3 linked regions of the Macaca fascicularis genome follow. The protein of the gene in region 1 interacts with the protein of each later gene in a pairwise test. Links are inferred from orthologs where the notes say so. Each region holds a gene or a part of one and is shown on either strand. Other genes may lie near its edges.

Region 1 (3,644 bases):
GGGAAGAAGTGGTTTGCTGAACTCTCTCATGAATGAAAAAGGAGGATATCCTGAATTCTAGGGATCATCTCAAAGGAAGCCTCAAACTGCAAAGCAGAGATATCACAAGTGCTTCATAAGGTTACAAAAACTTTGTAGACTTAAAAAAAAAAATCACCCCCTATCACTGCTCTGTAAAACCAAGGCTATGGACTAGCCTCTGAAGAAGAGCAGATGTTATCTCCTCCAAATAGGCTTGAGGTAGGGAGCCCCAAGGAATGCACAGATGCAGGCTTAAGCTGCTCTGCCAGCTTACGGAGGAGTAGAGAGCAGACTGAGGTCCTGGGAGGTGAGGAAAGGCAGGATGATGACTACCATGTAAAGAAGCAGCTCTGTGGGATGACAGTGGCCCAGGTGTGGTCTAAAGCCAAGAGGCTAACTGAAACTGGGTTGGGGAGTTAAGCAAAGAGGCCACGATGCCCATGGCTTCCTTTTCTCCTGGAGAAATCCTGGAGGGAGTTCTGGGAATAGCAACCAAAGCAGTCTTTGTAAAGAACTTTACAATATGCAAACTACCTTCACTTAAGACCACATCTGCTATCCAGCACAGTTCTATGAGTTGAGTAAGCCAGACATTTCAATGTTCTCAGTTTTTAATGGGAAGCTGAGGCTTGCCCCAGATCAAGCAGCTTCTAAGTGGTCACCCCAAAACCTGTGCCCAAGCTTATCACAAGACTTATCACACTGCTTTGTGACAATCTGAGCAACTTGAATTTCCTCTGCACTGGGAGCAACTTGAAGGCCAGAACTACTACATGTGGAGGATGTCATGAGCATCCTTAGTGCTCACAGGGGACAGTAAATGTTGAAGTAGAAGGCCCTACAGAGCTGGAGGTTGAACAGGGGCCCATAATAACATCACTTAAGGGTTGAAGGATATAACGTCAATGTCCCTCATGAGGCTGAGGAATCTCAATGACATCACCCTAATTGGGCTGGGGACAAGGACAACATCACACACAGAGTTGAGTGAGATAATGACATTGCTACCTACAGAGTGAGGCAATTATAGGTCATTCATGGAGTCAGAGGACCAAATATATCACCCCCACGGGGCAGGGAGAACAATGACAACATTACCCACAGAATTGAAGAGTGACAATGACATTCCCACAGGTGGGGGTGGGGGGATGGCAAAGACAATGTCACCCACGGGGTTGGGTCCCTGTGGCACTGGCAGCTTCCGAAGCTCAGGGCCTTCGTGATCATCCTCATGATGACTGATGTCCAATGTGGTGAAGAGGTTGGAGAGAAGCCCCAAGATGTGAACAATGGCCAGCTTGTTGGAGGGATTGGGCTGCAGGGAGAAGCAAACCAAGCTCCAGATCTCCTAGCCCCAGTTTGGTCCCCAGATCACTGAGCCCCAGCTCTAAGGGCCAGCTCCACCTTCACCCCTCATCAGCCACAGCGTACCAGTACTGCTCCCGGCCCCCAGAGCTCACTCACTATCTCCTCTGCCAGCTTCTCCAGTTGCTGGATATAGGGTGAGATAAGCGAGTGCAGGTTCTTAAGAATCTCCTCCACTTGAAGAGCTGACAGCAGGAAGCCCAGCGCCTGCATCAGCCACATGCACTGGCTTGTCTGTGGGGCAGAACATGGATGGTCAGTCCTGGCCACATCTAGTTGTGGGGTAAGAAGGAAAACGGGCCTCTTGGGAGAAGAAAAACACAGAGAATAAGGGGTAAGAGGAAGGGGAAGGCCAAAAAACAGGATTTCAGGGATAAGAGATTCCCACAAGACCCCCAAGGAGACCCCTAGAAACTTCTGAGCCGCACCTTGTGGATCTGTTTCATCAGCACATCCTGCGGGGGAGAAAGAAGGAATGTAGTATCAGCACAGTGCAGAGTGTGCTCTGAAGCTCAGTACCATCCAGGGCCCCTGCATACCTGGGACACGGCCACAATGTTGGCAGCATAGGGAGGCAGGTCATACTTGCACTCTCGGCAGATCTTCTTGAGGGTAGACACAGAAGAGACAGAGAGCTCAGGATTGCCTAGGGCATGCAGTACCAGGGGCAGAACACTGTTGATCATGACGGGGTGGTCAGCCAGCCATTCAGACAGAGCTCCTGGAGGAAGGAGGGAGACAGAAGGATCTTTGAGGCAGGCCAGACTGGCTTTGTACCATGTCTCTGAGGCAAGCAGAGTTCCTGGCAGGGTCAAGTTGCAGCCCTAGCACAGAGCACTGCTCCATTCAGAGGACATATGCATGTGCATGCTCAAACATGAGCCTTACAGCTGAGAAGCAGGGAGAGGTTACTCAACAGAAGCCCAGTACTGCTGTTTCACTGACAGTAAACTAGCCTCACTGAATTCAGCTCAGTGTGCCATCAGATGGACCCCCTAGACCTGCCAGGACAGTCAGTTTGTTACAACACTGATTGTGTGTAGGCACATGGCTCTCCCATTCTGGATAGAATCCAGCATGCTGGCTGTGGCCGGGGTGGGGTGCTGTGGCTCTGGGAATATGGTCATGGGTGTGTGCCAGGTCTCACCAATGGTGAACATGACAGTGTCTGCCAGCTGCACGTTGCTGATGCTGATCCGTGGGATGAGGCCAATGAGCCCAGGCACCACATCAGAATAGTTGACGTCAATGGTCTCTGCGATGGATTGGAAGCCGTAGAGGAGGGCCTCTGTGTGCTGGGGAAAGAGGGTGCCACTGGCTTGGATGAGGAGGAGGGTGTGACAGGTCTGGGAGGGCTGAGGGAATCAGGCTTGGGAGGTACCTGCCAGGAGTAGGGCTCCTCTGAGCTGGTGAGCAAACGACCCAGCTTGTCATAGAGGTTGCTGAGCAGCTCGGCCCCCAACATCTCATAGACATACATGAGCGTGTCTGAGATGTCCACCCTGAGAAGCAGATGAAGGCCTTTTATACTGCCTGGATCCTGACCCTGGATCCTGCCCCCAAGCCCAGGAGCCTACCCCAGTACCCCCACAACTCTGCAACAATGCCTAGAAAACAGAGAAAGGAGCCCCAAAATTCAGAAAGCCTGGCCTTGGGCCCCTTCCCTCATTGCCTTCATTATTTCTGGACTCCATTTTAGAGGAGCTGGCCTGCTACCATCACCTGTAAATTCGGAACTGCTCCTTCTCGTCTGAGGACCAGAATCCATATTCCTCATCAGAAGGGAACTGGGCCTTGTGCAGAAGCACATCCACCAGCTGGAAGTAGACTGGCCGGTACACCTGCTGGTATACAGCCTGCTTCTCTGCCTCAAAGGATAGAATATCATCCTGAGAGAGCCAGGGAAGACAATTAGCCACCTCACCAGCAGCCATAGAAGCCCATGATCCACCTTCTTCCACCACAGCCCAGTCCTACTGGAGGTCACACAGACACACCTGCAGCGTGTACCAGAAGGTGAGGGTTAGGGAGCTGGTGGTCTCATTGACAGGATAGTGGCCAGGGATGCCTGTGCAGAACATAATCATGTTGACAAGTGCCAGGAAACTCTGCCAGTGCTCTACTTGGTCCAGCAAGGCCCTGGGGAGGAGGAGACACAGTCAGGTCATTCTACCTCTCCAGGGACTTCCATAACCCCACCTCTTAGAGGGCCCTACTATCCCACCCCCAGCTGCTCCACCCCTTACCGGGAGTGGTTC
Region 2 (3,644 bases), on another chromosome or scaffold:
TTATTTGAACAGATATTCGTTTTCTTTCTTCCTCTCTCAACCAGTTCACCTCTGCCTTCTCCCCCAAACGGGTTCACTCTGCTAAATATTTCAGTCTTTTTATTCTCCCTCAAATACAAAAGGTATTTTTCCTCCCTGAGACATAGGACTTTCCGACTCCCCCAATTCTTCGATCTGTTTCATCGCTCAAATAGTTTGCTATCATCTTTATCGGCAATATTTGATGTTTTCTTTTCGGCTCCAAATGTTTATTTTCGTTTAGTCCATCCCGCTGTCTGAATCTCTTTCTTCTCCCTCAGTCTGTTTTCTTGTTTATCCCCCATTTTTGATCCTTTTGAATCGTCCCCAAATATTAGGCTTTTTCATCCTTTCCAAATATCTGACCTCTACTGTTCCCCTTAAACAGCTGATTCTTTTTCTCAAGTACCTGATCTTTTTGCTTCCTAATTTCTTTCCTGCCGCCTAAATATATGCCAAATATGTTTCTCCACAAATATTTAATTTTTTCTATTCTTACTAGTTTCTTCTAATCTTCCTGCCCTTCCTTTTCTCCCCCCAAATTTGGTGACAACCTCCTAGTCCTTCCCCATCCTTACCTATCTGCCTACCGCATGCTCTCTGCCCTCTCAGATTTTCCTCCAGTTCTGAGTGAAGTTTCCTGAGCTAGTTTGCCAGACCCCTGCTTCTCAGCTTTCCCTAGTCCCCAGCACTGACACTGCCTGATTCCACCCCCACTCACCCCTACCACCATAAACCTGGGCAGGATTAGTGAGTTCAGGATTACTGAGTGCTGTGTCTTCACTCCAAGTCCCACTGGGCTGGCCAGCCTGCCTAGGGAGGGCTGCGGGTTATGGTAAGGAGTCTGTGGGCCAGGTCGGACTTCGGTCGACTTGGGAGGTGCTCCCAATATCTGATTAAATATTTGCGCCCCCAGGGAAGAAATGATTCTGTTGCTACCCTGGCAGGAAAGCCTTGCTTTTACTTGAAACCGAACGGGTGAAAAGAGGGAGAATGCAGGCTGGTCTTGGGTCTGAGATGGCATATCCCAAAAGGGATTGGGAAGGACATTTGGGTCCCAGAGCCACCCCCCACCTCACCAGACAGGAGACCTTCTGGAAAAGGCAGAAGGCAAAGGGTCCTACTGACGGCTGGGGAGGGTGGAGAATATCTTGAGCTTTTAGAGAATCTGCTTGTGAGATGGGACCACTGCTCCAGGAAGTTTTGAGAGCCCCAAACCCAGGCACCTTTCTGGCTTCTCCGATGCAGCCAGGCAGGACCTGCCTTTCCCTTTCGTTTTCGGGGTAAAGCCAGCAGCTCCCGAAGTCCCCAGCGGCAGGGAATCCACTGCCCAGTCTCTGGCCCAGGGTATCCTGTTAACATCCAAGTGGGTCCTGGGCCCCACAGGGCATGGGGGAGTCCCCTGAGGGCACAGGTCTTTGGGCTGGGGCTGCCTTAGTCCGAGGATCAGGTAGGATGACGGTCAGAGGGGTTGGAGGTCCATGGCGGCCTGGAGGCCTGGCAGACGCTAGGTGGGCCAGGGCCTAAGGTGGGGATCGCCGGTGGTGGGAGGGACCAGGTCTGAATGGTGGGAGAGTTAAGGTCTGCTTGTGGGTCTAAGCTTTGGAGGGCTGCAGCAGAGGCGGCCCGGGAGCCCTCTGCGCGGGTGCTCTTAGGCGCACCCCTTGCTCACCCGCACGCGCGGCTCGGTGAGGTTGGTCCACACGGCGATCTCCTCCCTCATGCTCATGTCGGGGTAGCGGTTCCTCTGGAACGTGGCCTCTAGCTCTTGCAACTGCTGGCTTGTGAAGTGCGTACGTTGCCGCCGCTGCTTCTTCTTCTTGGCTGGGTCGTCTGCGCTGCCGCAGCCCGTGCCTCCCGTGCCACTGTCCTCAGGCCCCTTGGATTCCCCGCCGCGCTCCTTCTCTGCAGTAGGCAGGACGTGGAGCAGGTCACCTGGGCTTACGCCCCGTTGCACCCCGTCCCGGCTCCACCGAAGCGCCCGCCAAGCCACCAGCGCGGGCTTCCCTCCTTCCCTCCCTCCAGGGTCCCTGGGAACTGTCCCCACTGGAAAGCGCCCGCCGGGTGCTGGTCGTCAGTAGGCACCTCTAGTCTGGTGTACCGCGGAGAAGAGCCCAAGAATCGGAGCCCTAGCCGCGGGCCTGGGTTCCTGGCTGGGCAGGGCCTGCACCCTTAGCTCGGCTCAGACTGCCCTGCTGCTGATGTTCGGAGCAAATGTATGCTTTGTTTTGTTTGTTTTGCGACCTCTTAGGGGGTCTAAATCTGAGGGGGGTCTCTGCTTTTCTGAACTAGGAGCAGATCTTTCCAGCCTAAACTCCTCCACTTTTTTCTCCTCAGGGATGTGTGGGAGCCCCACTGGGCAGGCACAACACAGCCGGTTCTCGGCCTTGCTTCCAGGCCTCCAGTCCCAAAGCCTAGAAAACCCCACCAACTGCAGCCCAGACAGACAGACTCTGTCTAGGTGACCTCGGGCTTCAGTCTGTCTCTCTTTGAAGCTACACAAAACACACGCAGCCATAGAAACATTGATACATAAAGAAAAAGAATTTAAAAACAAAACACAGAAGCCCAGAAAAGCTCACAGCTCTATGCCTAAAGACACAGAAAGGGCCACAAATTCTCAAAATCAGACAGGAAGAAACACAGAGCAAATGTAAATTAAGAAGCCAGAAAACTCGGTACAAACACACCCCTAACTAAATACAGACCTGTAAGTGTATAAACTCCAGGCTGACAGAAGCATTTATTTCTTTGGGATTTAAAAAAATAATGTACCGTTGTAAATAGATTTTTAACTCCCTCCCAATAAGGCCCTTACAGAGATAATTTTTAAATCCCAGAGAAACACATTATAGTTAGATAATTTAAATTCCCCAAATAACACCACTGTAAATGGATTTTGAGAAAATTCCGGAGAAACGCGCCATTTTGGATTGACTTTTTAAAATCTCCGGAAGAATAATGTTGCATGTAGATATTTTAAATTCCAGAGACCTACACTTAGTATATTAATTATTTCAAAATCGAAAGATAAAGTTAAAATTGTTAATTCATCCTCATAGATTTGGTTCAAAAAATCAATCTATGATTATATATCTCTCTAGGTTTTAAAAATAAAACCAACCAAAGACCGCACTTAAAACTTTTGAAAACAAAAGTATAGTTCAGCGTTGATTGTGTTTTAACCAAGCAAACAGAACCTCTCAGAAAAATCACTTAGGGATGCAAAAGAGAAACAAACAGATTAAGAAAGTGTAAAGAAACACTCAGCTGTGTATTAAGAAATGAACAGAAGAAACGAGCAGAAGAGGCGCCCATGCCGGGGAGCTCTGAGCCCCTCGGGGACCCAGGCGGCTGCGCTGGGCAGCGGATTCGCTACCCTACTGCCCGCGCCGGCCACCCCCGGGCCCAGTTCGCTGCTGGAAAAAAGCTCCAGCTCGTACAAAAAGGCAGCGCGGAGGGAGACGCGCCGGAGCCGGGGCGGGGGCCAGGGCCGGGCAGCTCCGGGCTTCGGCTGCACACGTGGGCCGGATCCCTCGATCGGGGTTCGGGCTGGCCTTGCTGGGAGTCCGGCCGCGCCTCTTGGCCCGCTCGCCCTCACCGTCTTCTGTGTCTTCCTTCTACTT
Region 3 (4,315 bases), on another chromosome or scaffold:
ACACACACACACAAAATTCATTGAAGAACAAATGCAAGCATTATCCACCTTTTACTCTACCTCTTCCTTCCTAGTACTGCTCTTTACCTGGCTGTGTAACCCCTCCCCACTACAGGGCTCTAGTGGGTACACAGTCCACACCACCAGACCCTAGTCCCATACTCAGAGACCGTCCTTCACCTTACAACAGTCCCCATTCAACAAGGCCTCATCCTCCAAAAGGACTTCAGTCCTTTCCTTTCTTTTTCTCTAATAATCACTGCAGGACCCAGACACGGTGGGCTGCCCTGTGAAGCAGATTCTACAGATTCTGGCTGGCTGACAAGTGGTGAGTGGAGGTAAACGGGATGGGAGGTATTAAAACGCCATTATTTTTCCCCATTGCAACTGGAATAAATAGTCCAAACTCTCTACTGATTGTTACCCAGATGACAAAAACAAAACTCTTTTTTTATTGAGACAGAGTCTTACTCTGTCGTCCAGGTTGGAGTGCAGGGGCACTTGAACCCAGGCGCCTCCTGGGTTCAAATGATTCTCCTGCCTCAGCTTCCCAAGTAGCTGGGACCATAGACATGCACCATCACGTCCGGCAAATTATCATATTTTTAGTAGAGATGGGGTTTTGCCATGTTGGCCAGGCTGGTCTCGAACTCTTGACCTCAGGTGATCTGCCTACCTTGGCCTCCCAAAGTGCAAGGATTACAGGCATCAGTCACTGTGCCTGGCTGAAAAAACAAAACTCTTTACTGAGACTCGTAGGCCCCATGTAATTGGGTTCTAGCCTCCCTTTATTATCACTATTTTTTTGTTGTTGTTCAGATAGAATCTTGTTCTGTCACCCAGGCTGGAGTGCAGTGGTGTGATCTCGGCTCACTGCAGCCTCCGCCTCCCAGGTTCCAGTGATTCTCCTGCCTCAGCCTCCCAGGTAGTTGGGATTATAGGCGTGCACCACTATACCTGGCTAATTTTTGTATTTTTAGTAGAGACTGGGTTTCACCATGTTGGCCAGGTTGGTCTTGAACCCCTGACCTCGTGATCCACCCGCCTCGGCCTCTCAAAGTGTTGGGATTACAGGCGTGAGCTACCGTACCTGGCCTCCCTTTAAACTCAACTCTTCCCCTCCCTGGCTAGGAACTTTCTCTTCCAAGCCAGGCTCCGCTTTTTATATCCTCTTTCCCACCTCAGGGCCTCTGAAGCTGCTGTCCTCTCCACAGATGTTCTTCTCCACCTGGCTTCCTATAGCATGCAACCCCTATCCCTACAGCTTTTATTGCCATTTATTTTATTTTTTTCTTTTCTCAGATTGGTGCAGGGAGGTCTCACTATGTTGCCCAGGCTGGTCTCAAACTCCTGGACTCAAGTGATCCTCCCACTGGTAGGCAGCTGGGATTACCTACCCATGCCTGGCTTATACTTTTTTGCTTTTGTTTGAGATATTGTCTAGCTCTGTCACCCAGGCTGGAGTGCAATGGCTTGATTCGGCTCACTGCTGCCTCAGCCTCCTAAGTAGCTGGGACTACAGGCTTGTGTCACACCTAACTAATTTTTTAGTTTTATTTTTGGTAGAGACGAGGTCTTACTACATGGTTCAGGTTGGTCTCGAACTCCTGAGCTCAAGCAATCCTCCTGCCTCAGCCTCCTAAAGTGCTGTGATTACAGATGTGAGCCAATCCACCCAGTCCGTATTTTTTGCTATTTACTTTCCCTCCCCTAAATCATGAACTCGAGAGCAGGGACTGTCAACACCCGGTTCCCTATGCAGTTACTGTAGGGATTCAATAAAAATTTGCTGAATTCATTAAAAAGAAAATAGGTCTTCCATCTCCACCCACTCCACTAACCCTTTTCCCAAAAGTTCTGGATTGTTCCCACACCAAGTTACCCCAATTCAATTCTTCAATCTCCTGCAGAGACATTCCTGAGTCCCATTCCCCACCACTCACTCTCCATCATCTGTCCTGGAAACTTCCCACCCACAAGCCGGGCTCGGTGGCTGGGGCCTGTAATCCCAGCACTTTGGGAGGCCGAGGCGGAATAACTGCTTGAGCCCAGGAGTTCAAGCAACTATAGTGAGACCCCCTGTCTCTACAAAATATACAAAAAAATTAGTCGGGCGTGGTGGCACGTGCACCTGTGGTCCCAGCTACTCAGGAGGCTGAGGCAGGAGGATCAACTGAGCCGGGGAGGTGGAGGCTGCAGTGAGCCATGATCACGCCACTGCACTCTAGCCTGGGCGACAGAGCGAGACGGTGTCAAACAACAACAAAAAACTTCTCACCTGCAGAAGTCCCATTAACGTACCCATTTAGTCATTCAATCGTCAAAAGTACCCTACGTGCCCATTTCTCAGCCCTACTCCCTAAACTCAACATTCTCACCCCAAGATGAACGGTTGAAAATCCTTCACGCCACTGCTCAGCCCCATAAGGCCCGTCCAGCCCGTTCCCTTTGAACCCCATATATCCCCTCGCCCTCGGGACCCCCCTCCAGCCCTCCTCAAGCGTCTCTCGTCAGTCTGCCCTCCCCGCCCTGTCCCCTCTGTCCGCCACCCTCACTGCCACGACCCTGCGTGGCCCCGCCGAGCCCGCGGGCAGCACCTGGCCTGCGCCTCGTCCAGGCTTTGGTCGGTGACGGCCATGATCTGCTGCAGGACGTCGCTCGTGTCGGGCCGCCGCGGGCGGCGCGGGGCGGGGGGCGATGGCGCGGGGCGCTGCGTGGCGGCCATGAGCGGCAGGGCCAGGCGGGCGCGGTGAAGGAGCCGTCGAGCCTGGAGCACTAGCACTCGAGCCGCAGCCAACCGCCGCTGCCTGAGCTCCACGCCAGCCAGCGCTCGCGCCTAAGCCACGCCCACCACCGCTGCCGCCAGCCAACCCGTGTATTGCACTGCCTACAGACACGCCCCTTCATCGCCGTCAGCCAACCGGCGCCACGCACCGCCCCGGGAGACGCCCCGAACTTCCCTCACCCCGGGCTTGGACTCGGTTAGCGGTTGCCGAGGCAACGGCACTTCTCACAAGCGCCCTCCTCCAGCCTGAGACAGGGCAGCGCTGGCTCCGCTCCAGCCAGAGGCCCCCATCCCTCACAACTCCCGCGGTGCACGCCTCCTTCAGCCCCACTCATCTCCTCAGAGTTCCTGCTCCTCCTCAGAGCCCCCTGCTCCTCCTCAAAGCCCTCGGTCCTCAGAGACCCTCACTCCCCGGAGCACCCCAACTCTTCCTTCAAGCCACCCTCTCCTCCTCAGAACCCCACACCTCTTATAGCTTGATCGACAGCCCCCATTCATTTCCAGAAGCCCCAAGCCCCAGACCCCTGCTCAGTCCCTCTAATGCTCCCTGCAGCCTCAGCCCCATCAGGTGGGCCACTGGGGCCCCTGGCTCTTCCTCTAGAGCTTTCCATGCCCCCTTCACCCGGCCAAGGGGGAGCACAGGTGTGCGTGGTTGATGGCAACAAGAAGGTCAGAACGCAGCGCTTTTCTCCACTGAAGAAATCAATTCCAGTCACCTTTCAAGGTCCAGCTAAAGAGTGACCTCGCTTGTTTACGCAGTCTACAGTTCTGGGCATAGAAAATGCTACCACGTGGTTACCGAATGAAGGAAGGAGGTTTACTGAGAGCCTCCCCTGCAGTGCGCCCCAAATCAGAGCGAATCCTCACATCTTTGTTTCTAGCCCTTAGGACACAGCATCAGAGGTTCCTACTGCACAAGAAAAGGAACTGGGCGGTGGCTCACGCCTGTAATCTAGCACTTTGGATGGCGGAGGCGGGAGGATCACTTGAGCATGGGAGTTTGAGATCAGTTTGGGCAACATAGTGAGACCCTGTGGTGGTGCACGCCTGTGGTCCCAGCTACTTGGGACTTGAGAGGCTGCAGTGAAAGGATCACTTGGGCCCGCGAATTTGAGGCTGCAGTGAGCCATGATTGTACCACTGCACTCCAGCCTGGTTGACAGAGACCAGGTATCAAAAAAAAAAAAAAAAGGAATGGACTGGACATGAATCGCTTCTCCAAAGTCACAGAACCTCCTGGAGCCTATTTGCTATGAGGACAGGCTCCAGATGTGGGCTCAGTAAAAGGTCCTTAGCCTGCTGGCTGGGAACCCTTCCAGGGCTGGGCCCATGTTCTCTCCATTGCTGCTGGGGAGGAAATTCAAACACCATCTGGAATGGCTGGATTGGAGAGCGTCCGGAGACTCCAAAGGGGACGGTAGGGAGTGAAAATGAAAGACATGGACTGAGTGTCTGGACAATAGGGAAAGCTCTGTGATGAAGGAAACCACCGACACTTGGCTGCAATGACAGGAAGTAATAGATTGCATG

What was found.
Region 2: the proteins of IPO13 (region 1) and PITX1 interact in binary tests that used the Homo sapiens proteins (3 or more experiments, as listed by UniProt). The link is inferred for Macaca fascicularis from reciprocal best matches to the Homo sapiens genes IPO13 and PITX1.
Region 3: the proteins of IPO13 (region 1) and PBX4 interact in binary tests that used the Homo sapiens proteins (3 or more experiments, as listed by UniProt). The link is inferred for Macaca fascicularis from reciprocal best matches to the Homo sapiens genes IPO13 and PBX4.

What each region holds. Positions count from the first base shown.
Region 1 is NC_088375.1:190,801,781-190,805,424, forward strand, and holds part of IPO13 (importin-13), read right to left. Parts: coding exon 3,633-3,644; intron 3,526-3,632; coding exon 3,384-3,525; intron 3,276-3,383; coding exon 3,109-3,275; intron 2,889-3,108; coding exon 2,768-2,888; intron 2,682-2,767; coding exon 2,534-2,681; intron 2,108-2,533; coding exon 1,926-2,107; intron 1,842-1,925; coding exon 1,815-1,841; intron 1,621-1,814; coding exon 1,486-1,620; intron 1,337-1,485; coding exon 1,193-1,336; intron 1-1,192. UniProt on the Homo sapiens protein: Functions in nuclear protein import as nuclear transport receptor. Serves as receptor for nuclear localization signals (NLS) in cargo substrates.
Region 2 is NC_088380.1:141,568,637-141,572,280, forward strand, and holds part of PITX1 (pituitary homeobox 1), read right to left. Parts: intron 1,924-3,644; coding exon 1,691-1,923; exon of another isoform or gene 1,245-1,690; intron 1-1,244. UniProt on the Homo sapiens protein: Sequence-specific transcription factor that binds gene promoters and activates their transcription. May play a role in the development of anterior structures, and in particular, the brain and facies and in specifying the identity or structure of hindlimb.
Region 3 is NC_088393.1:20,055,184-20,059,498, forward strand, and holds the start of PBX4 (pre-B-cell leukemia transcription factor 4), read right to left. Parts: upstream 2,844-4,315; 5' UTR 2,726-2,843; coding exon 2,598-2,725; intron 1-2,597.